4 linked regions of the Arabidopsis thaliana genome follow. Each later gene encodes a partner of the first gene's protein in a complex. Each region holds a gene or a part of one and is shown on either strand. Other genes may lie near its edges.

What was found.
Region 2: AT1G64510 (region 1) and AT3G13120 share a complex: the UniProt entries of both Arabidopsis thaliana proteins name them as parts of the 30S ribosomal subunit.
Region 3: AT1G64510 (region 1) and rps4 share a complex: the UniProt entries of both Arabidopsis thaliana proteins name them as parts of the 30S ribosomal subunit.
Region 4: AT1G64510 (region 1) and PSRP4 share a complex: the UniProt entries of both Arabidopsis thaliana proteins name them as parts of the 30S ribosomal subunit.

Annotation. Positions count from the first base shown.
Region 1 is NC_003070.9:23,952,261-23,959,945, forward strand, and holds AT1G64510 (Translation elongation factor EF1B/ribosomal protein S6 family protein), read right to left. Parts: upstream 4,045-7,685; 5' UTR 4,018-4,044; coding exon 3,565-4,017; intron 2,976-3,564; coding exon 2,733-2,975; 3' UTR 2,543-2,732; downstream 1-2,542. Other genes in the region: AT1G64490 (DEK, chromatin associated protein), read left to right, coding at 1-280; AT1G64500 (Glutaredoxin family protein), read left to right, coding at 1,010-2,116; RPN12a (regulatory particle non-ATPase 12A), read left to right, coding at 4,199-4,303, 4,604-4,682, 4,977-5,079, 5,160-5,423, 5,519-5,630, 5,720-5,860; AT1G64530 (Plant regulator RWP-RK family protein), read left to right, coding at 7,560-7,685. UniProt on the Arabidopsis thaliana protein: Binds together with bS18 to 16S ribosomal RNA.
Region 2 is NC_003074.8:4,216,678-4,225,176, reverse strand, and holds AT3G13120 (Ribosomal protein S10p/S20e family protein), read left to right. Parts: upstream 1-3,529; 5' UTR 3,530-3,650; coding exon 3,651-3,875; intron 3,876-4,027; coding exon 4,028-4,066; intron 4,067-4,555; coding exon 4,556-4,867; 3' UTR 4,868-4,888; exon of another isoform or gene 4,889-4,904; intron 4,905-5,076; 3' UTR 5,077-5,867; downstream 5,868-8,499. Other genes in the region: AT3G13130 (uncharacterized protein), read right to left, coding at 1,564-2,169.
Region 3 is NC_000932.1:43,168-50,016, reverse strand, and holds rps4 (ribosomal protein S4), read left to right. Parts: upstream 1-4,188; coding exon 4,189-4,794; downstream 4,795-6,849. Other genes in the region: ndhC (NADH dehydrogenase subunit 3), read left to right, coding at 1-16; ndhK (NADH dehydrogenase subunit K), read left to right, coding at 83-760; ndhJ (NADH dehydrogenase subunit J), read left to right, coding at 864-1,340; photosystem I assembly protein Ycf3, read left to right, coding at 5,426-5,551, 6,266-6,493. UniProt on the Arabidopsis thaliana protein: One of the primary rRNA binding proteins, it binds directly to 16S rRNA where it nucleates assembly of the body of the 30S subunit. With S5 and S12 plays an important role in translational accuracy.
Region 4 is NC_003071.7:15,975,064-15,982,112, reverse strand, and holds PSRP4 (plastid-specific ribosomal protein 4), read right to left. Parts: upstream 1,266-7,049; 5' UTR 1,166-1,265; coding exon 1,009-1,165; intron 942-1,008; coding exon 877-941; intron 789-876; coding exon 654-788; 3' UTR 501-653; downstream 1-500. Other genes in the region: AT2G38150 (alpha 1,4-glycosyltransferase family protein), read left to right, coding at 1-413; ATMAK3 (Acyl-CoA N-acyltransferases (NAT) superfamily protein), read left to right, coding at 1,968-2,147, 2,247-2,367, 2,507-2,562, 3,259-3,474; AUX1 (Transmembrane amino acid transporter family protein), read right to left, coding at 5,321-5,554, 6,235-6,492, 6,579-6,786.

The sequences.
Region 1 (7,685 bases):
ACTTGAGATTACAGAGATTAAGGCCCGAGAAGAAGCTTCATCTGAGTTGAATCTCGATCTTTCGCGAGATCCGTACAAAATCATCGTCAGAGAAGCCGTCGATAGTTTCATCGAGAAGGCGATTATGACAATCGATACTGAGATGGGAAAGCTTCATACTCAGATTGTAGAAGATGTTGATGGAGAAGTAACCGAGAATGCCACGAAGACGACTACGAAGAAGAAAAAGAAGAAGAAGGCAAAGAAGAAGGTGGAAGAAGAAGAGTCATCACCTGCTTAGGTAAATTTTATCATCTCAGATAAATTTCATCTTTGCTCAGGTTTTTGTGTAATTTCAACGATGAATGATGTCTTTAGTTGAAATTAGTGTTTTAGCCATTGATACTACACTTCAAGTCAAAGTGTATCAGACTCTGTAACATGCTCCATCAATAGTTATATGTTTTGTTACTTAAAAAATTGATGATTGTCTAATTCATTAGGACATTTAATTTGCCAAAGAAAAACTTGGTTTTGGTGAAATTGTGATACTCAAAAGATTCAAGTATATCAAAATGAAACCTCTTTTTCCAATGCTATATATTCTCTTTGTGTTATGAAATGCATTATTTTTGTATCGACCCTTCAAATGATAATGACATTTGCATATCTTTCTTCGGTAGAGTTTGACATATTTGCATTTAGGAGAGACGACAATTAGAAGATTGAATTGTCAAGAATATGATTGACTCACCACGTAGATTACACTGAAGCCACAAGCACACTTTGTGGTGGTCGTCATTCTAATTCTTATTATGATCGTTTCACAAATATTCATGGACTCGAATAAATCCACAATTGTATACTAAGCATTATTCTAGGAAGGATACAAATTGATGCAAAAAATATTTAGATAAGAGAATGCTCTTAGACCACACAAAATGCTACCCATCATTTTCTTGTTTTCTTCATATAGTAAACACAAAAACATATACAAAGAAAACTGAACAAAATTTGAAGAGTTATTAAAATGGGGTGTACATCTTCCAAGCAAGCAAAAGCTAACGTCGTCGCCGACGTTTACAAACCACCGCCGTCTAGTTTCGCGGTGTTTGATGTCAACGCCATCCAAGAGCCATGGCTAAAATTTGAACATGAAGATGATGAGAAACCGCCACGCTCCACCGTCTTCGACCGTCTCGACGAGGATGATGATGATGATGATGATGATGGTGATGACGCTCCTAAAACATGGGAAGAAGTCAGCAAATCTCTAGAAACTAAACTTAAACCTGCCGCCGTTAAACCGCCGGAAGTAGACTCTGTTAAACCTCCGGCGACTCCTCCACGGCGGCTTCCGCGGAAGAGCGCATCGTTCCACACACTGGACGAGCTTGAAGTGAGGGCCAAAAGAAGCATCGCCGCGCAAATCCCGACGACAATGGTTAAGCTTAAGAGAACCGAGTCGATGTCCAAGCTAAGACCCGAGTCAGATGATCGAACCGAGTCCACTCAGTCGTCCTACTCGGGGCCTCGGTCAGTGAAGGAGAACATATTCGTCAAGAGAGACAGAGAACGGAGGGAGAAAGAAGGGAACAAGAAGCCGGTGATGAACTGGGACCCACTTAGGGAGTTCCCGGAGAAGTGTCCGCCGGGAGGAGGGGAAGGTTTGATTGTCTACACGACGTCGTTGCAAGGAGTGCGTCGCACGTACGAGGATTGTATGCGTGTGAGGGCCATCATGGAGCAGCAAGGAGTTGTGGTGGACGAGAGGGACGTGTCTTTAGACGCCGGAGTCTTGAGCGAGCTTAAGGAGCTTCTCCAAGACGAAGCATCAGTGGCGCCGCCGCGAGTGTTTGTGAAAGGGAGGTACTTGGGAGGAGCAGCGGAAGTGACAGCGATGAATGAGAACGGGAAGTTAGGGAGGGTGTTGCGGTGGGCACGTGTGGAGAGAGTAGGGGAGGAAGGGAGGCTCACGTGTGAAGGGTGCGGAGGAGCGAGGTGGTTGCCTTGTTTCGAGTGCGGCGGAAGCTGTAAGGTGGCGGCGGTTGGGGCGGCCAAAGGTGAAAGGTGGGAGAGGTGTGTCAAGTGTAATGAGAATGGATTGATTCGTTGTCCCGTGTGTTTTGTTAATTAAGAACATTATTAGTTTACACAAGCAAATAGAGGTGTGTCAAATATACTTTGTCCCGTTTGTTTTGTTATATGTATGTGACACGTTTGATTTTGTGGAATTGAAAATGATTTGAAACTATGCTAGGATTTTCATAAAATGTTAAAGCATGAACGTGAACCATTATAATGCTAAGCTTGCAAGGTCTCTCACTCGTATATGTTGATGGTTTTGATCAATTACGTAAAGGAGTTCAACAATCTCACTAATTTAAGTTTGGATCGTCAGAAGGTAAAAGCTGGCAAACAAAGTCACTTCTGCCTGAATACTTTACAAATTTGTTCTTTGTTGCTATTTTGTTTGATTGTTATGCATCCGTTGAGGATTTTGTGCTATGAAACAGAGTAATATGAATTCCATCATTATAGTAACTATGGCAAGTTAGTGTTAGTTAAAATCTTTTAATGAAAATGCATACAAGTATGCTTCTCAAACTTAGCTTTAAGAGTTTCTCACAGTTACATAAGAAAGCAGAGCAATGCACAAAAAAAGATACAAAAAAGATAGATTTACTTTTGTTCTTACAAAGAAACAAAAAAAGAATCTGACATTTTTCTCACATACACAATGTTCATGGTCTTCAGTTGTACTTCCTCTTCTTTATCTTGAAGGAAGATGATCGGATAATGTCATCGTCGGCAGTGAGAACGGTCTCGAGTGGAACTATTGATTCGGGTTTGGTGAAGTAAGTGAAGAGAAGGTAGATTCCATCCAAGTAAGTGTTGGTTTCTCCAGCTTTGTTCTTCTTTCTTATGCTGTAAGCCAACGGAATCACTCCTCTGTTAAACACTTCCACATACATTCCACCTCCTGCCACAAGCAACTGCCACACACACCAAAAAGAAATCCCAGCAACATAATGAATCTTTCAGAGTCTGCACCAACTAAAAACTTCCACTACTCCGAACATAAATTTCAGAATTCCTCATTAGATTAAACATGTGATATAGCGTAAAAGAACCCACGCGTAAACCACAAATGATAACTGTGTATTAGCTCGTTTCGAGCATCAAAGGACATTTCAAGAATTGAGTTAAAATGTTATGGTAAAACATGACTAAAAAACTAAGAAGTGCACTAAGGGCTCCTATCTTGTTTCAAATGGTTGAGACTTAAAGAATTCACAGCCCACAGAAGGATGAGATTTGCTCTTAGAAAGTTAAACTCTTTACTTCAATTTTAACAAGGAGTCGTCACAAACATTCAATTGATAGCTGCAAGTTACACAACTCTACATTGAAACCATTTTCTCTTGCTTTGTCATTAACGTGTAAGAACAGACACAAGATACAACTTTTAGTGATCTCTTACTCAACTTCTAATTGAATCCTAAAATCTCTTTCTCTCTCAAATAATCAAATTTCCCTCTGACATGAAACAGAAAACAGGTAAAGTTGGAGACTTTTACTTACCTCTTCGTATTTCTGGGTAAGACCAAGCCGTTCATCTTCAGACATGTCTGGTCTCAAAACCGCCATTGTTTCGTACTGCCTGAGCCCAGGTGGGCACTGAGGTTCCGGTTTGTCTTCAAGGGCAGTTGAGACTCCCGACCCGGAAGGAGAAGTCGGGTCATCATCCGACCCGAATCCACCTTCAAAGAAAGTTCCAGAGAAGTCAAGAGCCTGAGATTTCACCACAAATTGAGAGCCATCTCTCTTCTGTATCGAGGCACACATAGGTTTCGACTTGGAAATGAATGGCCTGAGAGAGTGGGAGAATGATAGCAGCGGCTGCGAAGATACATTAGGCAGAGGGCAAATTGTGGAATTTGATACACACAGCGAAGACGCCATTGTTGTGAGATTGTGAAAGCAAAGAGGAGATGAGAGAGTAAAATTTGGATAAGAGATGATGATGGTACACATTAGTCAGAATTCTATTGTACACCATGGGCCTTTTTAGGTTATTGGGCCTGTTAAAGGCCCGTTTTGTAAAGACAATTATTTCTATCTGTATTATTTGTCTTCGCGATCAAGCCAGTTCTCGGAGCAATCAAATCTATAAGAAAAGAATCGTCGCCGGTGAAGAGAAAAAACCATAGAAGCGATGGATCCGCAGCTAACTGAAGTTTCACAGCAGTTCGAGAGATTCAAGGCGGCGTTTGCGAGGAAGGATTACAATACCTGTAGCGATCTGTTGTCTCAGCTTAAGGTCTACATCTCTCTCTCTTCTTTGAACCCTAATTTGTTTCAATTCACTTCTTTGCATATCTGCTTATTGAACCAACTTTGGGAAAATTGATGGGTTATGTCGCGAGAGTTTAAATCTATGAGAGCTTTGATTTATTGAAGTGAGAATTTTTAGCATATAAGTGTGTTAAGGATCTTTTAGAAGAGCTAAGTGCTATGAAATTTTTAACTTTCTACTTTAAGGGATTGTTGGGATTGGTTTAGATTTACAATTTACTGGTGCGAGTCTCTGATGTCGCTGGGGTTTTGTTGTGTTCTTCAGGTTCTTCTTACCAAATTCACAAGTCTTCCTCCATTGTTCGAGAATTCACCTAATGCAGCCAAGGAATTGACTATTGCAAGTAAGTTTCTCTTTTTCATTATTGGTTTTACATGAGCTATTTGCTAGTAAGTTTAGAGTTTTGCTTTCAATTGCATGGAGTGTTTTGGATTTGTCTATTCTCATGAGTTATTTGTTAACTATACTTAAATACCACTGAAGAGTGTCTGAGGGATTGTACTGCTTTAGTTTGTCTGTCTATCCCTATATGTATACATTAATCGTTGAATGCTGCATTGGTTTGGATTGAGTTATTGGTAATTTTTGTTCTTATTGATTATCCGTTTCTAAAACTTTGACAATTGGTGTATTCTAGGGGACATTTATGAGCATGCTGTTGTTCTAAGCGTCAAAACCGAGGATCAAGATGCTTTTGAGAGAGATTTCTTCCAGCTGAAACCTTACTATGTGGATGCCAGGTAAAGAAAGAACCAACTGTCTGAACATTATCTTTTTCATTTTCTTTTGGTCTAACATATCTTCTTTTCCTCTGCACCAGGAACCGTATTCCTCAGTCTCCACAGGAGAATCTTATCCTGGGTCTTAACCTTCTGAGGCTGCTGGTACAAAATAGAATTGCTGAATTCCACACCGAGCTTGAATTACTTTCATCAGCTACACTAGAGGATCCTTGCATCAAGCATGCAGTAGAGCTTGAGCAATCCTTCATGGAGGGTGCCTATAACCGTGTGTTGAGTGCTAGACAGACCGCGCCTGATGCAACTTACGTCTATTTCATGGATCTCTTGGCAAAGACCATAAGGTAGCATCAATGAGTCTGTCCTTCTCTGAATTAGTTCAGTCTTATGTCTTCTCGCGTGTTATCTCACCTTTTTATTGTTATGACTGAATTCACAGAGATGAAATAGCTGGATGCAGCGAGAAAGCTTATGATTATGTCTCTATCAGCGATGCCCGGCAGATGTTGTTGTTCTCTTCTGATCAAGAACTCTTAACCTATGTCACAGATGTAAGAGAAAAAACATTTTGTGCAAAGTTTAGAATCTTTTTTAGTTTCATGAACCATTGACGCGATTTAGGTTTTATCAAATCTTATAGGAGCATCCTGAGTGGGAAGTGAAGGAAGGGTTTGTTGTCTTCCAGAAAGCCAAAGAAACTGCACCGTGCAAAGAGATTCCGTCTCTGCAACTCATCAACCAGACTCTAAGCTACGCCAGAGAGCTGGAGCGTATCGTGTAAGATTCGACTTTTCTCACTGCTTGTCTCTTCTCTTCTGTTATGTTCCTGGAAATCTCTGGGTCAGAAAACTTTGTTATCATGTAATGACCGATATTGAGCGACTCAGTATTTTCTCCGGGTCAATGAGACTTTGTTGTGATATCAATCTGTTTTTCCATATCCTTTTACGTTATATTCTATTGTTTAGTGTTCACTCGTTTTCAATTGGAGACTCTGTCCTCCTCACTTTGATGCTTTGCTTGAACATGATGTCCATAATTCTAGGGGTGTTCAAAACTAGGTATAGTTTGGAATTCAGAGTTACCGTGGTCCGGGATACTCAATTTCGGTTTGGTTTGCGGTGGAATGTTTTAGTTCAGTTTGGTTATTTGAATTTGGGTTTGGTTTAGTTGTGGATGAAAAGGACAGATTTGGAGAGCCTCTAACGTAGTGTAGCCGGGGCCTTCCTTCCTTTGATGAACAACCTAGTCCAAATATGGAAGAAGGAAGGAAGGATTGTCATTACAGAACAAGGGACACACAATTGTCAATTGCCAAACACTCATCAACTTGAAACAAGTGGGGATTTACGTTGCAAGCATTTCTTCTCCTTGGGGTTAAAATATTGATTAACAGCTAAATAACAAATTAGGGAAGTTATTATAACATTAAAAGAAAGAATAATCACGATTAGATGTCCCCACTAGGAAAACAAGTTACTGTTAATAAAAATTTTATGTATTGCAAAAGGGCTTAAGTAAGGATCCACTTTGGGTAAGTAGTTGAAAATGGCTGAGTAAGAATAATCACGATTAGATGTCCTCGCTTTTTTATTCATCTCCCAAAGCGAGATTCGTTTTTTTCATTGTCGTCAATTATTGCATTGTTTATCATAATTATTTGCTAAGAACATCATTATTATTGAATAAATTATAGTAGTCGTTGTTATTCTACTCACCCACAACACGCACTTAGTGCCTAATTACGTCTTAATTTAATATTTTTTAAAGCTTTTAGGCGCATAAAATATGCTATGACAACTTTGTTCATGGTGGTGGACGTGTAAGAAACGTCTAAAGATCTACTCTATATAACATAATCAATTCGTTTTTTGAAATGTGATAAAAACAAACCTTTACCATATATTCGCCTCTGGCAGAAACAATGCATTTGGAATAAAATAGAATCGTATCACAGCATTTAAAAACGATTATTCAAATAGTCTAATAGTATTTATTCACACCTTTATGTTTTATGTATATCGAATTTTGTCAAAGCCAATATTCTAGAGATGGTCAATCAATATCAATACAGTTTTTTTTTTTGGCCAATGTTCTAATATTCAAGTTTGTTAGTATTAATAGAAAAACAAAATTTCGATGCCTTTTGTCTCATAAAAATATTAAAGAAAATAATACAAAGAATAAAGAATTTGCATGAAATGGGAGATATTCTAGTGGTTGGGGTAAAATGGTACAGCGTGGAATCAAATGTCTTCAACAAAATCAAATTATTTTATCTCAAAAAGATTTAAATCCCAATTTAAATAATATTACAACTTGTCTTCTCCTCTTATTTCTTCTCTCTCTCTTTCTGTTGAAGAAGCTGAATCAGAAGAGTTTTTTTTTGCTTCAAAAGGAGCTCCGGCGAAACTTCCGGAGATATTAACACTTACTCTGACGAGTTTTTGTCTCGTCTTACGTCTTTGCTGCTGCTGTTGATGGAACTTGACGACTTGGATCTCAGCGGTTCTTGGCCGTTAGATCAGATCACTTTTGCTTCAAATTTCAAGTCTCCTGTCATTTTCTCTTCCTCCGAACAACCTTTCTCTCCTCTCTGGTCCTTC
Region 2 (8,499 bases), on another chromosome or scaffold:
TGGACATGTTCTGCTGTGTCAAAATCGTATAGTCTATCACTATTCGATAGATCTTTCGCTCCTCAATCGTTTTCTTAAACTAGTTAACCAAGAAAATTTACGGGTTTTTGTATTAGTAATTACATATACTCAATAGAGTACCAAATCTTCATTATCCATTCATTTCAACTGTCTCATTCCTGCTTGTTTGATACATGTAACATTCAGTATTAAACTCTTCTTTCTGGTTTTTTTTTTTTTTTTTTTTTTTTTTTGGTGTTTTCACGTTGATCAATTGAATTAGTCAAATCAAATGTTTTCCTTTTAATAAAAACCTCTCGAAAGGACTAGAGAAAAGATAAATCACATTAAATGGAACATGCATGATGCTAGCTAGTGTAGTTGAACCGTTTCAGAAAACAAAACAAAAAGTTGTTCAAAGTGAAAACCCAACTAAGCGATCGACTAGAAGATTCTCAACAAATTTCACAGTAACTTTATTTTTTAATATTCAAATAAAAATGATCTTATGGAGACTAGTGATGATGAATATGTAGGATAGGATAGTGGGGGAACTGATAAAAAAAAAGTATGGAGGTCTAAAACTAAAAGCAGAGAGCAGAGAATCTATATATGGAGTCTTTAAAGCAAACTTATATTACTTTTTAAACATATATTCGATTCTTCGTTCTCGTTGATAAATATTCTACAGGTTGTACATATGGATTGATGGATCATGGGATTAAATATATGTACACAATACATCATTTTGACGTAACTTATAACATTGTTAGAATTTTGTAATGAGTCTGAAAGTTTCTACAGTTATCATCTTAGGGCTTACTAATAGCTATTATATTATTGTTAAGAATACGTAATAACATTGATAAATGCGTATGTACATTTTACTTTTACCAAACCCATGATCAATTTAAAGAAATCTATACGTACTGTTCAAGCTTGGAATCATGGTACCGGATGTTCTGTTGGCCACGGAATCAGCAAAAGTTATCAGATCAAGAAAATTAAACATTTTAAAAATCAACTATAGCCAAGAAATAGAAAAAAATGGCTCAATCCATCACATATCATGTTTACACGAAAGTACATCATCTCCTAAAAGACATATAGAATTAGGAATATCCATCATACGTTTTTCTTTGACATTGAAAATTCATTATATGCAAAGGTATACACGTGTGCATGCACGGACAGCATTATTCCCCCGAAACTATCGGGTGTAGACAACACACCGCTAAAAACATGTAGTACATCAGTCTAGCCTATAGAACTAATAATGGAGTTCGATATGAAATATGTAAACATATAATTTTGTATGTATATGATCATATTGTAGTTTAATCGTATTTGACGAGTTTCATTTTTGCATAATATATACGAGGTAACAATTTTCAAGAAAAAGTGTAACGCGAGAGAATTACTTAGATTTAAAAAGGATTCCATTAAAAGAGATGCTTACAGAGGCTAGGAGGATGTAGAAGAAGCTAGAAAACGTAACTCGCTCTCTATATGAGCAAATTGCGTTTGATTAAACTTAAACAAAACTGATTAATTAGAAAGTACTCAAACAAGGATTAAATGCCGTTTAGCTTCGATTCTAAGCTCTTCCTTCATCTTTCTGATGAACTCGTCGAATTTCTTATTCATCTCCTCCTCCGTCGATGTCATCACTCCTACGTTCCCTTCTTCTTCCTCGTTTATAGATCCGCCACGAAGACCACACTCTTCCTCTCCATCATTATCTGCTAATGTGTTGTCGTCGTCATCTTCTTCTTCGTTGTCCTCGGTTTCTTGATGTTTTGTATCTTCCTCCACTGTAACTTCCTCTGCAAGAAAGGACTCTGTTCCTATTCCATGATCAGATTTATACTCTAGCTCCAGTATCGTAGTGTAACTCTCGAAATCTCCATAATCAAAGGTTTTATCGGTATTACTCCAAATTTTCTCTATTGGTTTGGACGAAGCGACCAAACCAGAACACTTAGCAACAACCACTACGAGACCATTGCAGAGGAGGAACATGTAGTTTTTATCTACTGCGTGTGTTACGAGTTGGATCATGAACCTATATAAATAGAAGTCGTGGCTGGTTAAAAGAGATAAAATCCACATCGAAACTGCTATAAACTTGGTCAATTTCTTCAGAAACTCCGGTTTTATTTGATCCATCTCTCTGGTTTCTTTTCTTTGGTTTTGTGAGTGAATGGTGAGGACTAGAATAAGAAGAAGAAGAAGAAGGAATTAAACAGGTTAAAGTGTAATTGTGCAAAGCGTTACACTACACTCAACGGCTTTGGTATTTATAGAATTTAAGCCAAAGGCAATGGGCATCTGTGGATGATTTTACCAAACCACCCCTTGTTCTGAAGCTGCATGGCTGCATGCCACGTGTGAAGTGTGATTTCCCAGTTATGTGGATAAAAAAAAGTCTCTGTGTTTCTTCTATTGTTTGTTTGTCAACTAATCCATGTTTTCTTATGTCCTATTATTGGTTACATTGCGAAACGACCTCTGGTTAGTGTTCCAAAAGTTCCGAATCTTTTATGACCTCTGATGGAATTCGGATTTTTTTTCTTTTTATATCATCAAGCTATACATGATGACTTAGCTTTTATGGTATGTTAATGGTAAAGGAATATGACTTTTAAGTCATGTATAGCTTGATGATATATATAAAAAAAAATACTCATGATTGAGACAAATACAAACGGAATAGTAAGGGATGATTGGTCTTTGAATAGTGTGAGGGCTTGTGGACAATAATATTTAGAAGATGTCATTGTCTTTTATGTCTTTGATTGGTTTAAGTCATTTTCCTTCTTTAAATTGCATGGATTTGGCGACATCATTATGTTAATTGTTAGGCTTCTTCTACATGTATTTTGCTTTTATTAAAAAAAAATTATACTTGAACTACGCTAACACCTTATATTTCCGTGTGAGATTATGGATCACACATTTGAAGGTATATATTTACAGATTATGGATCACACAATTACAGATAAAATTAAGAACAATGCATTTAAAAGTCAAAAATCAAAACTACGGAATCCTTCCTTGATATTATTGTCTTTTGTATTCAAATTAATATTATTTTATGAGTTTGTATTATTTCATCGAATATTTATATTGTCCATTTTTTTCCACATTCATTGCATATTTTCATGGGGTTTTGTTTGTCAAGTAGTTCATTTTGTCTTCCACTTTTCTTAAATTTTCCATCTACTTCACGAATGTTTGTGTGTTGAATTTTCCAAAAGATATTTATGAGATACAAAAGAATCTTCTAAAGACAGATCACAATCCACAAGAAAGAAAATACCGAAAGACAAATGAATCATATTTTACTAGGTTAGAATATTTTTGGTCCCCAAAAGAACTATAAAATATGGGCCTAATGGGTACTTTTGGTCCCTAACAGAAACTATACAATTTGGGCCTAATGGGTATTCATTTATAATAAGCGTAGGCCTTTTAATGAATTAATGGGCTTAGAATAAATAATATCTCATCATTTAAAAAAGAGAGAAAAAGGTTTTGGATAAAATGGATAACCCTCAAGAAGAAGCTGCTGAAGAAGAAACCTCATCCTTCGAACGTTAAGAGGAAGAAGAATAAGAGAAATCGATTCGTGGTTTTGGGAAAATTCAATGGCGGTTTCTACTGTATCGTCGTTTCTATTGCCATCTTTCGGCATTCCAAGCTCTTCGCCTTCTTCTACCAGACTCAAAGTCTCTCTGCTGCCTTCATCTTCTACCCATGGCGGCCTTAGTTCCTGCGTCCTTACGAAACCATCCGTCTCGCTTACGAAGGTCTTCGCTGTTCCCGATACCCTAGATCCAACTCCAGAAATTCTCGATGAACCCGCCTCTGAGGTACACTCTTTCCTCTGTCAGTCTCGGATTCGATTGTTTGCAGAGCTAATGCGAAATTTGGGGGGGGGGGGGGAAAGACATTGTTTTGCAGAATCATTTAGCACTTTGATGTTAATTCTGTTAATAATAGTCTTTGTGTCTGTGTGATTCAGGTTCCGAGCTCTTCATCCATCAGTGTAGACGCGGATAAGGTATATTCCGTTACTGTTACAGCTCACTTACTAGAATACAGATTTTACGAGTACTTGTGCATTGGTGTGTTCTAAATTCTGTGTCCATCTTCGTCAAAACAGTAGACTTTTTTGCTTTACTACGTTTTCACAGCGCTAAAAAGTATCATATCTGTTCTAACACCAATGCCCATTGCTGTGTTAGAGGTCACTGCTAGAAATTGATACGCAAATTTTCAAATTTGATGTCTTCAATGTCTATCTTTGTCAGATCAATAGACTTCTTTGGTTTACTACGTTTTTTCAGAGCGATAAAGAGTCTCATTTGTGTGAAATGCCTTCAAGTAGATATCATCTTGTATATACAGGAAAGGAGAAGTAATTGTATAGAAATCTTGATCGTCTTTAGATGGTATCTTCATAAGATTTGCCACAATAGAGTTTTGTTTTAAGGGGTCTTGTGGAGTTTCATTGTGTTTGGTTTAATTTGATTTATTTTTGTGTTATCAGATGGCGCCAAAGCAAAAGATTAGGATCAAGCTTAGATCATACTGGGTGCCTCTTATTGAGGACTCATGCAAGCAGATACTTGATGCTGCGAGAAACACCAATGCAAAGACGATGGGTCCTGTTCCATTGCCAACCAAGAAGCGTATCTACTGTGTTCTCAAGTCTCCTCACGTTCACAAGGATGCTAGGTTCCATTTTGAAATCCGGACACACCAGCGCATGATTGATATTCTCTACCCGACTGCTCAAACTATCGATTCTTTGATGCAACTTGATCTTCCTGCTGGTGTCGATGTGGAAGTGAAGCTCTGAAGAAGAAGCGTAACTACAATGGTAACAAACAAAAAAAGTGATCTCTCTTCTTAATGGTTTTTGAATATTGATGTGTCTTAGCTACTGAAACTGCACATAGGCTCCAATATTTATCCTCAAAAACAAAACTTCATCAAATTACAATCTTTCTCTGTTGACCATCAAGATCTTGATGCTTGTTCTTAACCAAAGTGTTTTTTCTTCCTCAGATGTGATGGGCACTTTTGCATTGAATGAACAGACTGTTTCAGATCAACTACATTGCTTAGAACTGGTAAGCCTTGTATCATCTTTTTTGAGAACCTTTGTAACGAAAATGTAAGTTGTATTATCTGGTCCTTGGAATCTATCTTTAGCGATGCTTGGTTCTTAGTTGATGAACATATCCTTAATTAAGCAAGTTCAAAGGAATTTGTTTTTGTTTTACTAATTGTTATGCAGTTTGCCTGTGTCCATTATGATAAGTTTTTTTATTTTTGTTGTATTCAAAGTGGAATCTTTTTTTTGAATATAAGTATTATAGTAGTATTATAGTAGGAATAAGAAGATGCACAACTTGAGTTATTTTAAAACCAGGAGGTTGGAATCTTGAAAGCGACTTCATTATTATAATAAACGTATAAGTTCGTTTATCCACAAACTCAATAGGGAAATTATAATTTTTTGTCACAACACATTTCATTTATCAATTATCCTCTAGACTCAGTTCGTCTCTTTTCTTAGCAGCCAATTAAAACCTGCAAGTGTTGTTTTACCAGTCTTTCCTTTCCAAGCTTACGAAACGATCCAAGGGAAAAAACAGTAATGGTTTCGAATTTATGTCTGATAAGTCGATGGCGCTTTTTCTTATCTAATTTGGAATTTTGGATGATGCAGAAATTGTCAACCCCCCAATATTATAAAGTTGAAGAATATTCTTTTCCATGTTCAATCATACACACAACTATATCATTATTTTAATCATATGAAATGGTTTTTGGTATAGTAAGAAGTGGTTCATTGTAAGATAATGTCTTGACCAAAGAAGAAAGAAAACGAATAGTCGCCAAAATTGAATTTGGTTTAAGTAGATGAGACAATGATGTGGCGGTTTATAATAGTCGTTAAAGTTAAGGCATATTCCCACGATATACCAACATGGACCGTCCATTATTATTTATTTTGATTATAGTTTGTTCTCAAAAACACTCGAATAAATTGCTTTTTTTTTTCACAGCATTACTGAAATCATACATAATTTCTGCTTCCATAATCTTATATTTTACGAGATCGGTTTTATGATAAACTTTCAAGTAGTACCATTATGGGTTGTATTTTCTTTTACTACCATTTTGGGTTTATTGCAATTTGCATAAACATATTCAAAACTATTTTGCGTTCAACCAAATGGTTAAACTCTGGTTCATATTGATATACCAAAACACTCATATTGGATCAAATATGTAAGGTGATAATAACACTGATATGAACTAGTATACTATGTCTTATGAGTCACTATTTTCTCTAACTTTAATAAAAGTTTAGCTGTGATTCATTATTCGTGATTATGGTATCCTCATATCAGAATTGCTTTGTTCTAATTCAGTCTTATTGTTCACTAATCCTGATCGAAAATACATGGCCACATTAGAAGCATCAAACAAACAGGGTTTTATGTTTTCCACACTCGAAGAGACAATATTTTCAACGGCTGAAACTGAAAGGAAACAAAATATAATTTTAAGACAAAAAAAAAAGAAAAGAAAACATATATTTCTTCTTTTGGTTGTAGTATTTTGAGACCTCACTGATTGTCGGAAAATAATTGGAGGGGTTCCCACTGATTTTGAATTTCTGTAATACCAATTGTTTGTTTTATTAGAAAACAACACCTTCAATTTGTATTTTCCCCTTGTTGTTTGGGATGGCAGTTACTTAAATAAAATATTTATCTAAAACCCATCGAAGAAATTGATTCTAAACATAACAAATAGTTATTTTTTTTCACACAATCTCACTTGGATATAGTTTATTAAGTCGCTGGTAGTCAAATATCTTCGTTTTAACATATAAGCTTTTTATTATGTTAATTTTTTGGTTTTCACATCATATGATTATGTTAATTGATAAAGCTATTTAATTGATCAGAAAGAGCGAGAGCCACATGATAAATTCAAGTGACTTTGGCTTGAAAATAGGACGATGGCTTCACGGATCTATAGACTAACTAAGTCATCTGTCATTACATACGTCACGTTTATTTCATTTTATAATTACAAAAACACCAAAGTTAAATCAAATTATTCTTTGTTTTTGTCAACTGATTTGATATTGATAAATTTGTTGAAATTAAGTATATAGTACACACGGGAGTGACTAAAAAAAAAAAAAAAAAAAGAGAAACTAAAGCCGATATGCAATGAATAAATACTCGGAATCAAAAACGGGAGGAACACAAAAAATTATTGGAGTCTAAGCCATATAGAAAAAAAAAAGATATTAAAACCACAAAGCATAAAACTCAAAGCAAAATGAAAAAAAAACATATATTCTTACCTAAAAATATAAGCAACTAGGCATATATAAACCTTACTAAACAACACTAGTTAAGTCAAATTAGTCTTAAATTGATTTATGAAAGGTCTATTATACACGTCTAACAAAAAGGGTTTATATATCTCGAAGGTGGCAATGAAATATATAGTTCTTGTGTTGAACAAAGGTAATGAAATATTTAAAATTAAATTTCACTTGTATGGGATTGCACTTGCTCGTATTCACGTCATAGTGAATTGTGATAATATATTCTTTTTTTTCTTTTCATTGTGATAATTTTATTTTTTAGTCGTTATAGTTTGTTGTTTTGGTATATACAAAAAAGAATGAACAACAAAAAAGTGGGTTGATGGTAACCAAAAAAAAGTAGGTGTCACAAAAAAGAACATGTGATAGATGAGCCTCACTCCCGAAAAGAAGATGTACACAAAAACTCTGACCACAATTTAAAATGATAATAAACATGTGTTTTTTAAAATTCTTTTACCAAACAAGTGCTACTTTATTACGACAGTCGACATATATGTCCTTTTAATTTTTGTTAATTCAATCGCACGAGAATTAAAACAATGATTCGATTTGCTATGCCATTTTTTTTCAAAAATAAATTACACACATTTTTCTAAATTAAATCCCAAAGAAAATATAAACAAATCTTATTATATAAATTATGGTTTTCAAAGTTACTAACTCATACGATTATACCACGTGTCAAGTCTATCGATCAGATGTTGATACGTGTAAGAAAATAATTAACTTTTTTCTTTTAAAAAAAATAGAAATACTAAAAAAGAAATCAATTAACTTTTTTCTTCTTAAAGAATTAGATAACTAAAAAATAAATCATTATTAACATATACTAATTCATATGACTATATCTAAAAAAGATTACATTTTATTTTTCTTAACCAAAAGGATAATTAACAAAAAAAATATATATATGTTATTGGTCAAATTTTTAATATATATGGTATTAACAAAATTTGTATTATTATTAATTATGTTTTGTTAATTGTTAATAATTTTTAATATTAACTAAGATATAGATTTGATCTCATATAAATATTATTTTGACATGAAATTATTATCAAGTAAGA
Region 3 (6,849 bases), on another chromosome or scaffold:
ATTGGAATGGTCTTAGTTCGTTTACCGAATACTTGATACAATAATAAAAAAAAAAAAAGTAAAAAAAACCATTGAAACAATTATGAATTCCATTAAGTTTCCCATACTTGATCGAACAACAAAAAATTCCGTTATTTCAACTACGTTAAATGATCTTTCAAATTGGTCAAGACTTTCCAGCCTATGGCCGCTTCTTTATGGTACCAGTTGTTGTTTCATTGAATTTGCCTCATTAATAGGCTCCCGATTTGACTTTGATCGTTATGGGTTAGTACCAAGATCGAGTCCTAGACAGGCGGACCTTATTTTAACAGCAGGTACAGTAACAATGAAAATGGCTCCTTCTTTAGTGCGATTATATGAACAAATGCCTGAACCGAAGTATGTTATTGCTATGGGAGCCTGTACAATTACAGGGGGGATGTTCAGTACCGATTCTTATAGTACTGTTCGAGGAGTTGATAAGCTAATTCCTGTAGATGTCTATTTGCCGGGTTGTCCACCTAAACCAGAGGCTGTTATAGACGCTATAACAAAGCTTCGTAAGAAAATAGCTAGAGAAATCTATAAGGATCGAATTAGACCTCAACAGGGTAATCGGTGTTTTACTACCAATCACAAGTTTTTTGTTGTACGCAGTCCGCATATTGGAAATTATGATCAAGAACTACTCTATCCACCATCATCTACTTCAGAGATCTCTACTGAAACATTTTTTAAATACAAAAGTCCAGTATCGTCCCACGAATTAGTGAATTAGGGAGGCTTTTAGAGAATCAGAAAAAAATCTTCATAAATTAGAATTAACGGTAAATGTGAAATACTTAATTTTATATAAAAAAGGTGTGGGGGAAATAAAAAAGATGCAGGGCACTTTGTCCGTTTGGCTAGCCAAACGCGGGCTGGTTCATAGATCGTTGGGCTTCGATTATCAAGGAATAGAGACTTTACAAATAAAGCCCGAAGATTGGCATTCTATTGCTGTAATTTTATATGTATATGGTTACAATTATTTACGTTCGCAATGTGCCTATGATGTGGCACCAGGTGGCCTCTTAGCCAGCGTGTATCATCTTACGAGAATAGAATATGGTGTTAATCAAGCGGAAGAAGTCTGCATAAAAGTATTTACTCACAGGAGTAATCCTAGAATTCCATCCGTTTTCTGGGTTTGGAAAAGTACGGATTTTCAAGAACGGGAATCTTATGATATGTTAGGAATCACTTATGATAGCCATCCACGACTGAAACGGATCCTAATGCCCGAGAGTTGGATAGGGTGGCCTTTACGTAAGGATTATATTGCCCCCAATTTTTATGAAATACAAGATGCTTATTGAATGATAAAAAATGAGCCAATAGGATGAACTAAAAAAAAAGAGTTCTGCATTATGAACTTTGTATCGCGCACATAACTTAGTCAACTTTAGTCACATAACTGGGAATGAATAAATAAGATCGGAAAGCAATAAATGAAGGGGGGGATACAATTCTATTTCTATTGTATCTAATGAACCTTGGGGTATTTTTGCCCTTCAACTATAGTATACTATACATATAGACCTTTTTTTACTTGTTTGATTCAACGGAACTCATTTAACCTTTCCTTTCGGATATGTATTATGTATCAAGTATTATACATTCTTTTTGAACGGCTGGATTCACAACATGAACAAAAAAAAGAGAGGGGATAAAGCATAATTGCACTTTTTTTACTAAAGATACGTTTAATTTGAAGAATAAAAACTTATCAAAATTAATAAATCCTCTGCCAAGAACCAGATTTGAACTGGTGACACGAGGATTTTCAGTCCTCTGCTCTACCAACTGAGCTATCCCGGCGAAGGATCATCCTCGTTTTACGAATGGTGGCACAACGATTTCAAGTCCCCCGGAAAAAAGCTATGTCCACCATTAGTCTACTGAAGTATCAAGTATCATCTACTGAAGTATCATGCTCGTTTTCCTAATGGTGACACGAGGATTTCGAGTCCTCTGCAAAAAAGCTATGTCTACCTTTACTGAAGGATCATTATCATGTGACACAGGGATTTTAAGTCCCCCGCAATTAAGCTATGCCGACCATTACTGAGGTATCATCTACTGAAGTATCATCTTGCTTTTACTAATGGTGACATAAGGATTTTCAGTCCTCTACTAATGGTGACATAAGGATTTTCAGTCCTCTGCAACTAAGCTATGTCGACCATTACCGAAGGATCATCTTGCTTTTACTAATGGTGACACAAGGATTTTCAGTCCCCCGCAATTAAGCTATGTGTACCATTACCGAAGTATAATCTACTGAAGTATCAGTATCATTTTAATATATGACTTAGGTCTATGTCAATGAAAAGAAACTCAAAAGTAGTAAATTCAAAAAGTTGTGGACCGGGAATTTCTTGGATTTTATAAATAAAAGAAGACTTTCTAAGTTTGAAAATGAAAAATGATATAGATTATAAATAATTCAAATAAATAATAACGAAAAAAAGGTAAGGTGTCAACCTTTTCGGGGAGTAGAGCTGGGGATAGAGGGACTTGAACCCTCACGATTTTAAAAGTCAACGGATTTTCATCTTACTATAAATTTCATTGTTGTCAGTATTGACATGTAAAATGGGACTCTATCTTTATTCTCGTCCGATTAATTAAGTTCCATCAAGGATCTATCAGACTATGAAGTGAATAATTTTATTTTAATCAAGAAATATTATTTCTTAAACTTCGAATTGATTCACAACATTTTGATTTTGTTTATAAAAAAATAGAAATCGAGATTCAGGTCGTCATTTTTGAGATCGTTTTGTGTTACCTAAATTTATACAATATAGGTTTTTATCCTTCATCCTTTTTGATTTGAAGTTTCGATCGAAGGATTCCTTTATGAACACAAGGTAGTGAACTCCATTTGTTAGAACAGCTTCCATTGAGTCTCTGCACCTATCCCTTTTTTCGCGCTTTGTAAACTCCGGTTTGTTCGCGTAAACCAGGATTTGGCTCAGGATTGCCCATTGTTAATTCCAGGGTTTCTCTGAATTTGAAAGTTATCACTTAGTAGGTTTCCATACCAAGGCTCAATCCAATTAAGTCCGTAGCGTCTACCAATTCCGCCATATCCCCTTTTTTAGGATCTCATTATGATGTCTTTCCTTTTTTTTCTTATGCCGAAACCTCGGGATTCATTACATTATAGATACTTATTTTATGTCTTTGTTATCTTCTTTTATTTTTTTGAGCTCCATCCATATTGATTTAGTCTAATCAACAAAGATTCTATCATTTTTGTATTTGCAATTCAATATGGTTATATATTACATAACATATATATGTTCTTTTTTTTTTCATCTTTGGCTTAAATTTTCAGAAATAGTCGAACGGTCGATTCTTTTTTTTTTTTTTACTTTCATGAAAAGAAATTTATTATTATTATTATTGAAACTTAGAATTCTACAATGTGCAATGGAAAAAAATTATAAGTCTACTTCGTAAATTTGAAATTCTAATAATTCTATACTATTCTATGACTATATAGATATATATATAGAATTAAGGTTATGTTTTATTTATTTAATGATGAATGATAGTCACTATTTATGTGAGCTATATTCTGTTCTAGAATATATAGAATATCATTAATTCTAACTAGATAAGGAAAAATATTAATAGAATAGTTAATTGATACGATCTAGTAGTTTAGTGAATTTGTATGCATGCGCTATTTTATTTGAGCCCGCTTAGCTCAGAGGTTAGAGCATCGCATTTGTAATGCGATGGTCATCGGTTCGATTCCGATAGCCGGCTTTTCCATATTTTTTCGTTTTTTTTTACATGATTTTTAATGTACTTTCAAAATCAAAGAAGATTGAAAAGACTTCTTTGACCTTTTTCCAAGAGTTACCACTCCATTTATATTATGTCATATAAACTTCCATATTAGGAATATATATTGGGTAAAAGAGTTTGATCTTTGCAAAATTAATCAAGAAAATAAAGGAAAATTTTTGTGATTTAGTTGATTTATATATATTGTATATACAATAAAAAAAATCTGTATATTGAGAGAATATATCTTCTTACTCTTTGTATTCCAATAGTGGAGTGTATTTCACGTCATTTATCATTATCATTTAGTTCAGTTTTAATTTTATTTAGTTTTGTACAATTTCAATCAAAAAAGGAGTCTTTATGTCACGTTACCGAGGGCCTCGTTTTAAAAAAATACGCCGTCTGGGGGCTTTACCGGGACTAACTAGTAAAAGGCCTAAGGCAGGAAGCGATCTTAGAAACCAATCACGCTCCGTAAAAAAATCTCAATATCGTATTCGTTTAGAAGAAAAACAAAAATTGCGTTTTCATTATGGTCTTACAGAACACCAATTACTTAAATATGTGCGTATAGCCGGAAAAGCCAAGGGGTCAACAGGTCAAGTTTTACTACAATTACTTGAAATGCGTTTGGATAACATCCTTTTTCGATTGGGTATGGCTTTGACTATTCCTCAAGCGCGCCAATTAGTTAATCATGGACATATTTTAGTTAATGGTCGTATAGTTGATATACCAAGTTATCGCTGCAAACCCCGAGATATTATTACAGTGAAGGATGAACAAAACTCTAGAACTTTGGTTCAAAATCTTCTTGATTCATCTGCCCCTGAGGAATTGCCAAACCATCTGACTCTTCACACATTCCAATATGAAGGGTTAGTCAATCAAATAATAGATAGGAAATGCGTCGGTTTGAAAATAAATGAATTGCTTGTCGTAGAATATTACTCTCGACAGACTTAATAAACCTAACTTAAGTAAAAAAAAAAATTACTAAAAACAAGAGTTCGGACAACTCCCCTTTTCCATTAAAAATAAAAAGGCACAAGGTAAGGGATTTTGTCAAAGAATATTTTTCCTATTCATGTATCATAGATTGGTAGGGAGATTGGGATCCCTTGTTTGCTCTTCCCAGCATTTTCCATATGAAAGAAATTAGGAATAGAGAATCTATTTCAAAATCAAAACAAGGTAGATCTTATATCGATTCTTTTTTATTGGATTTGATACATTGTGGTCAATCACGTAAGATTGGTGAATTTGTTGAAAGTACGGAAAGAGAGGGATTCGAACCCTCGGTAAACAAAAGTCTACATAACAGTTCCAATGTTACGCCTTCAACCACTCGGCCATCTCTCCGACATCAAGATTATGACTGAGTATCTGGGTGAATAGCGAGTTATTCATCGTTTTTTAGATTATGGTTAATAGATACCCTTTTTGACCGGAAAATTTGGAAGTAGATAGAAGGTTTTTTTTAATGAGTCCGCTTTTATGTTAGTTCGTACTATACAATTCCTTTGTTTGTGAGAAAATTTTCTCACAAAAGAAAAGGTAAAGGAAATAAAAAGAGTTAGAGAATGGATTACTACCTATGCCAAGATCGCGTATAAATGGAAATTTTATTGATAAAACCTTTACAATTGTAGCCGATATCTTATTACGAGTCATTCCGACAACTTCCGGAGAAAAAGAGGCATTTACTTATTACAGAGATGGTGCGATTTGATTATCATTATTTTTTTTCTCGCCGATTTTGATTGGAATAGAAAGAAAAACGAGTATTGAAAAAAAATCTACGCTTTTGAAGGTGAAGTTTATAATATAAAAAAAACAATCCCTTCTGTCATGTATCCACGATTAATGCAGCCTTAGATGCTTCAATTGTGAATTATAGTATTGAGCAAAAGGTTTTTACCTATGGTTCCCGTATTACAGATCAATCCTACTACACTAATACAATATACGAATAGGAGGCATAGGGGAAGAAGCACTACGCCGAGAAATCAACAACACGAAAACTTTCTTAAAAATGATTCCCTTTCTTCTTCTTCGTTGGGATTGGGACTAATTAAAATGGTTGGAACAATAAACATCCATCTCGTTCGTATTTTGGATACCCGTATAACCATTGAAGACTGTTGAAGTGACTAATTCCTGGAAACTTAGGGGCGTTGAGAACAAAGAAATTTTTAGAGTTTCCTTTTTTATTTTTATCTAGCATGAACCCACTTGGTAGTAAGAAAAGATCTTTTGCAAGAAGGTTGGCTAGGGATTTCTTGTAAAAACATTAGCCCCGCTTAGTTCATAATGACATCACATTTTTACATATATTATTTTCATTATGCACCTAAAGGAGGAGCCGTATGAGATGAAAATCTCACATACGGTTCTGAAACGGAGAGTTCGTTAAAGCGAATGACGACCGTAACGGATGTCGGCTCAATCTGAAGGAAATTATGCGGAAGCATTACAGAATTATTATGAAGCTATGCGACTAGAAATTGACCCCTATGATCGAAGTTATATACTCTATAATATAGGCCTTATCCATACAAGTAATGGGGAACATACCAAAGCTTTAGAATATTATTTTCGGGCATTAGAACGAAACCCCTTTTTACCACAAGCTTTTAATAATATGGCTGTGATCTGTCATTACGTGCGACTATCTCCACTATAGAAAAAAAGAACGAACGCTAGTCAATAAAATACTAGAAACACAAAAAAAGGGCTTTCTACATAAGCATCGCCTAAAACGATTTTTATCAGCTGTAGCAAATAACTAAACTTCATCCATCGAAATATGAAGTGAAGACTAGATATGCCTAAATACTTTCTTTTCTATGGATAAAAAAAGATTTAATTGATAGAGGAAGCACCGTAAAGATCAATTGGAAAGGTTTTGGACCGACACAACAAGAGCTGTTTATTTATATCATAATATGAGATAAATCTTAGGAATCTACTTATGTAATAGAGTAATCCCCGAAGGTATTGAGCAGCGGTGTAGCATCA
Region 4 (7,049 bases), on another chromosome or scaffold:
ACAACGCAGTGATGGTCTTTGACATCTACCATCCGCTAATGCGAGAATTCTTGCAAGAGTATGCCACAACTTTCGACGGAAACAAATGGGGATACAACAGCCCTTACCTAGTCTCTAGAGTTATCAAGAGATTAGGAAACAAACCTGGATACAACAATCTCACAATCTTTTCTCCCGATGCTTTCTATCCAGTAAACTGGATCAAAATCCAAAAGCTTTTCAAGAAACCTGCAACCACAAGAGAAGCAAAATGGGTAGAGAAGACAGTACAGGACATGAACAAAGGGAGTTACATGATACATCTGTGGAACAAAGTCACAAGGAAGATTAAGATTGAAGAAGGAAGTGTAATGCACACTCTCGTCTCCACTCACTGCACAGTCTGCGGAAACATCACAAACTCTCACATTTAAAGATCCAAACAGAGACAGATGATTCATCCATCTGATCTATCTAAGTATATAGATTCTCGTTCTTAGTTTGCTTTACTTTTTCAATGTAAAAGACTCAATGATTCATAAAGAAGCAAACTTTTCATAAAAAGATGAGAACTTTGGAGATGTTTTTAACAACAAAAGAGTCGTAGCATCAAAGCTTTTCAAAAAACAAATTAAAATTACAGTGAGAGACAACAAGTGAAGAATCTCATATTTCTAATTAGAGAAGAGAGACTCGTCGATATCGATTTTGATCTTCTCGTCGTTCTCAAACTTATCTTTCCTCGGTGGTGCTGGAGGAACCGGTACTCTCTCCGGTCCTCTTCCTTTGCTCTTGTTTCTTGGCCTCGCCTGCTTACATAAACCCCAAATTCAAAACCAAAATTGCGAATTTGCAAAGTAAAATTACGAAATCGGAAAGAGAAATTTGATTACTTACATTCCCAAAAGAGTGATTGAAACGCTTTCCTTTAGCTGTTTTCCGGTCACCTCTGCCACAGTACACTGCGAACACCGGAAAAGTTACGCCATTGACGAATTAAGAGAGAGTTAGATAAGAGAGGGAGATTACCGAGTGGAATTGAGCTGGATGAGGAAGTGGAGAGAGAGAATTGATGAGTGAAGCAAGAGAGAGAGACACCGGCAGTTTCAGAGTGAGAAGATGATAACCGTGAGGAAGGTAATGCGACGGTGACTCGCGGAGGAGCTCCGAGTATAAGCGACGCCATCGCCGTGTGCTGTTTTCGAATTTGTTCGAAGAAGAAGATCCAGAAGAAGATAAGGCAGTGAGAGTAGAAAAACGATTTTAGGATAGGCTTTTAATTATCTTTTCATATTTGGGCTTTAATTTCAATTGGGCTTATTTTAAAGCCCAAATATATCTAAACCCTACACATGCTTGTCACGTGTGTAATCGACCTTGTTCTTGTTCTTGTTCTTGTTCTTGTTCTTCTTCGTCTTCTCTTCGGAGCTTTTTTCTTCAGATATCACCCAGATCGTAACTTTTGATCTTCGAATTTCACAAAGCTCAAACTTTTGGTAAGTATTCTTATCATCTCATTGATCTTGGGTTTCTAAAAAGTTTCAATTTTTATAATCACATCTCTTTCTAAATCTCTCATTACTTGGTATTTAAAATCTGTGTGTGTTTTTTTCATTCTTATGCTTCACAGGATTCTTTACTAATCCTATTGTCACATAACATCGGTAAGCTCTCTTTTTTCTGAACTCTCAAATCTTCTATAGCTCGCTTTAGCCAAAGTCGTTTGCTTTAGTAGAGTGTTATAGATTCTGCTTCAGCTGTTTATTTGAGGCTTTGAGCAATCTGAGTTTGTTATGAAAACATTGAACTTTCAATTCTGAAACAATCACTCAACTTCGATTCACAGAAAATGATTTATATTCTCTAACTTTGCATTATGTGTTTCATCACTTCCTATAGGAACAAGATCATCAATGTATAAACAACTGATCAGAAGTTCATATTTCTCTTTGTAAGTATACAATTCGGGATCTTGATCACTTCTTGCAATGGAGAAAGAGATGGAAGATAAAGAAGAATTCGATGAGGGTGAGATTGAGTACACGAGTTATGCTGGTGAGCATCATCTGCCATTGATTATGTCTCTTGTTGACCAAGAACTTAGTGAACCTTACTCCATCTTTACTTACCGGTACTTCGTCTACCTCTGGCCGCAGCTATGCTTCCTGGTATTTTGACACTCAGCTTTCGATTATCGTTGCTTTACCCTCATGATACTTATGTTTTGATGGATTTATGAGTAGCATTTGTTTTGTTTCTTTTAATAGGCCTTTCACAAAGGTAAATGCGTAGGAACCATAGTCTGTAAGATGGGGGATCATCGACAGACTTTCAGAGGGTACATCGCTATGTTGGTTGTGATTAAACCATATCGTGGCCGAGGCATAGGTAATACTTGAGCTAGTGCTTCCTAACTTCTTACAGAATCAGATTTTGACTGTGGGAGTAGTGTTTGATCTACTGCAAATACATGCCTCTCTTAAGGTTCGATAATTTTGTGTGCTGACTTGTCATTGTTTTTTTACAGCCTCAGAGCTTGTCACAAGAGCGATAAAAGCGATGATGGAATCAGGCTGTGAAGAGGTATGCTGTTCTTGCATTCTCACTTCTCTCTTTATTCCCACTTTGGAGAACTTAGATATTTGGTAGCACTAGAGTGATATCCTTTCCTGGTAGTATAAATGTAGATAAGACCTTATGAACCACCTTTTCCGGAAGGTTATAAGTCCATTACATGTCCTGAAATAGTGCCTCCTTTTTATCTACTAGAATAGAATTTCATAGCTGAGGTGATGTAGCTGCCTTTAATCATTGCAAGTATACCTATTGCTTTTGATTGTTTAGCTAACTGTGTGTGTAAGTTTAGTTCCACGTATAAAAGTAGTTAATCATACTCCTAAGAGTTGGAACTTTTCGATATTCGTTTAGTTACTAATTTTGTAGTGGAAATCAAAATCCCAGTCTCTCACTTAGTATACATATGTTGTATAAGTCTTGTATGTAGTCCATGACTCTTTATAGTCACACGCATTGGAATGTAACTGATAGTAATATAAAATAAGAAATCCCTGTCTCCCACTTACTAATTGCGTATTCGACGAATCATTTTCTGTTGTATGTGTGATCTCTTAACTGTAATCTCAGTAGTAAATAGATTGGAAAAAGAACCTCGTGATTGGCATTTGCTCTTCAAGTTCCTCATAATCAAGCCTGATTACAACATGAGAGTATGGTTGTCTGGTTATGCAATCTAATTAATGTAAAGATGTATGGCTGAAGGTAACTCTGGAGGCAGAAGTGAGTAACAAAGGAGCATTAGCACTATATGGGCGACTCGGGTTTATAAGAGCCAAACGGCTATACCACTATTACTTGAATGGGATGGATGCTTTTCGCCTGAAGCTCTTGTTCCCTAAGCCTCGTGTACCTCAAATACCTTCTCAAGTTCAAACCCAACAAGAGTATGAGACCTTTCCTAGGCCTCGTGTACCTTAAGGCCATGAACGAAGATGTGTGTTTCTTCAATGTATTCTAAATCCTGAACATGCTAAGACTATGTTCTCTTTCGTATGAAGAAATATTATGTGTTGGTACAATTCTAGTCCCATGTTTATGAAGTATTCTCGACTGGAGTAAGCGATTAATCTGGACGTTTCAACGGTCTTGTGTGTCTACAGAAACAATTTAGCATATTCATATCACTTTGTGGTGTGCGTATATACGTTTTTAAGGTCTCTCAAACTTGGTTGATGATTGGAAACAAAGATCTAAATGTTGTTACAAATTCATATAACCACTTAACTTAACCTAATCGTCTCAGGCTACTCCTGACTTCGAGTTAAGTGGATGATATAGAAATCGAGATGTGAAGTGATTTTCAGCCATCAAAATTTTCAAACAGCTCTATATACCTCAAAAGAAATCCAAGATGACAAAAAATTGATTTAAGGCCAAAGGAGAGAAAGATGCCAGTCAAATGTTATGAAAAGACATGCTTGAATAATTGGTATGAGATATTTTATGAAATACTTTTATTGCATACCGTATTTTACTATAAAACAATTTTCTTTTCACAAACACAACCATCTTAGATTTATCCATGTTAGCCGAGATTTTTTTTGTATCCAGATAGTCCACTTTACAAAAAAAAAAAAGTCTAATATAAAGAAGAAGAAAAGCCTCAAATGTAGTTGCAAAACTCACATGGCCTAAATCAGAACAAATTAAAGACGATTCACCACTCGCCACATAATAGTTTATTGACAATTTGAACCCACTCGTTACCAAGGGTCACTAACCAAACGTTACCAAGGGTCCTACTCCATATCGCATAATATGACTCACATTCACTTCTTCTTTTCTCTTTAACGATTTTATGCTATTAGAAGAAACATTTTTGCAAAGTTCTTTTTTATTTTGACCCCCAACAAAAAAAAAGTCAGATGGAAAGTACAAGAATCGGACTCTGGATTCAAACGAGAATATTAGTTAATAATTTTACATATATAGTTATAATCTTTGGGGGCAAAGTACATGTGAAAGCAGAGCATATGATAAGGGGTAAACGATTGAGTACGAATGGAACGAACACATGCCATATTTAATATGAGGGACAGGAACGGTCCTCTGATCCATTCTTTTGATCAGAGAGAAGATGAAGAGTGTCAAGTAAATAATGGCACGTGACTCGGACGAAGTATCCACGTGCGTCCTCTCCCCACACCCATGTGGCCCATAGGATATATGACCGGCTCCGTCGGTCCAACTTGTCCATGTTCCCCTATTTAATTTTTAAACACACCCTGCCGTTAAATCAAATTTTCCAAATAAATTAAAGTGTTATTTCAAAATTTTAATGTAAACTTAGTAGTATTGTCGCTGTGCTATGATCAAAACTGTATAATTAAAAGATCTAATAGGATCCTAAAGAATTATCTAGTATCGGAAGATATTGTTCATGGTAAAATAGTTTATATAAGTCTAATTAGGATAAATGTATAAGATAAGAATTGTTTTTTGTTACTAAAGACAAGTAAAAGGAGAGAAGACGATACATTTTCTTAGCCTATTGTTTTAACAATACCAAATTAAGAAATCACACACTACATATTATCGACTATTCAATTTTAAAAAAAAAACTAAGGAGTGAAAACAAAAATACAAAACCCCAAAAGAGAAAAAAATAATTAAGAGCTTAGCACGCATTTAAAGGGGTGTGTAAAAAGTACACTATTTTCGTGACTTTTACTCCCTTCACGTATACGAACACAAAACACAAAAGAAGAACAAATAATTTTAAGAACCCTCCACAAACGCATTAGAAGAACCCTGACTCGATCTCTCAAAGACGGTGGTGTAAAGCGGAGACCGGGGCATGTGCGGCGGCTGCAGCTGGTTTACATTGGTAACACTTGGCAAAGAGACCAAAAGTGTCGACTTGACGAACAAAGTTGGTTACACTAGCCCATCCACCGAACCCAAATCCGACTATAAGAACCCAAACCACCACGAAAGCATTCAACACGTACATCGCCGTCCAGCTCGGCATAAAGAACGGTGGCTTCTCCGCCGCATTCTACAAGAAAGATCCAAAACACAAAAATAATCAGAGAACCATTAAAGAAATAGAGAGTGTGTAAGTGTTTTAGAGTTTTGGTCGTATAGTAATGGACAAAATCCAAAGCTTTGTTGACCCATGAGATAGAGAGAGAGAGAGAGAGATATGATTGTGATTTGTCATACTCAGACTCTCACTTTAGATTAATGTTAGGCATAGAGTCCCTATTGTACAGCTCCTTTTCATTTCTGATTATGACTCTTACCTATTCCTCTCCCCTATTTTCCTCTACTTTTATCTTACGTAAATTTAATATACACTGTTTTGAAAGAGAGAAAGAAAAAGAAGTCATGGTCAATTACTAATACTAACCTAACCGGATATTGTATTTTTTCTTCTAAATGTAACCAAATAAAGAAATGGCTGAAACCAACTCAATAATATATTATTTGGAGGGGACGCCAGTAAGGAATGTGGGTGATGATCCTATCTTCCGTAAGATACGGAACACTGAACCCCATCTATCTTCCACAAAAGACGTTTTTGCCCTCCAATTTCACAACCCTACCCCCCAACTATAATATTCCTCCACCGACTCTTCATTTCATTTCTAAAAAATTATTGGTAACTCAATGTATTTTAGGTTAAGTTCGAGTTTTGAAACGCTAAAAGAGAGTGAGCTAGTAAAGATGTTATACCTGACGAGCGGAGGCAGATCGGTAAGTGAGCATGTGAGCGAGAGATGGGATGATATAGACGGTGAAGCTAACAAGAAGAGCACCGACAGCGGAATTGATTGGACCGAAAAAGGGGAAGATAATAGCTAAGAACCAAATAGGTATGACCACAGGCAATCTAGCCAAAGCCCTTAAGCAAATGCTCTTTGTGTCATGCATCCCAATCACTTTCTCCCACACAAAGTACAAAGGTGTACAAGCGAACCCGAACGTTATAAACTGCACGAACAAGAACACGTTGCATTAATCTCTCATGATCAAAATTTACTTAAAAAAGAAAGAACAAAAATGTTGTATGTGTATACCTGATGAATGAGCATGAGGATAACAGCGGCGTCACGCCACGCGTTCTTGGGCATAAGAGAGAAAGCGTTGGAGTGGTCGAGAAGTGCGTCTCCGAAAGCCCAGTAAACGGCGGCAGCTGACGGAATCGTTAGCGTGAACACGTATAACGTCGCCATCAAGTAAATGTACTTAAACTTCTGTGGTTTCCACATAGCATGCATAATCTCACTGCAAATTAGAAATTACTGTTAATATTCATAATTTCATCCAAAACTTTAACTATGTAAAAGATTGGATTCACAACAATCATTGACGCATAAAAAGGGTGTATTTGACATTTCGCAAAAGCGTACTATTCCTACTAGTAGTAGTAGTGCTTTGGTAGCAATAGTGTTTGTTATTCTTTATAGGGATAGGAATAATAATGGTTATTCTATTTTATATTTAAAAAGAGCTTATTTTATTAGTACTACTATTTTAAGGATTGCTAA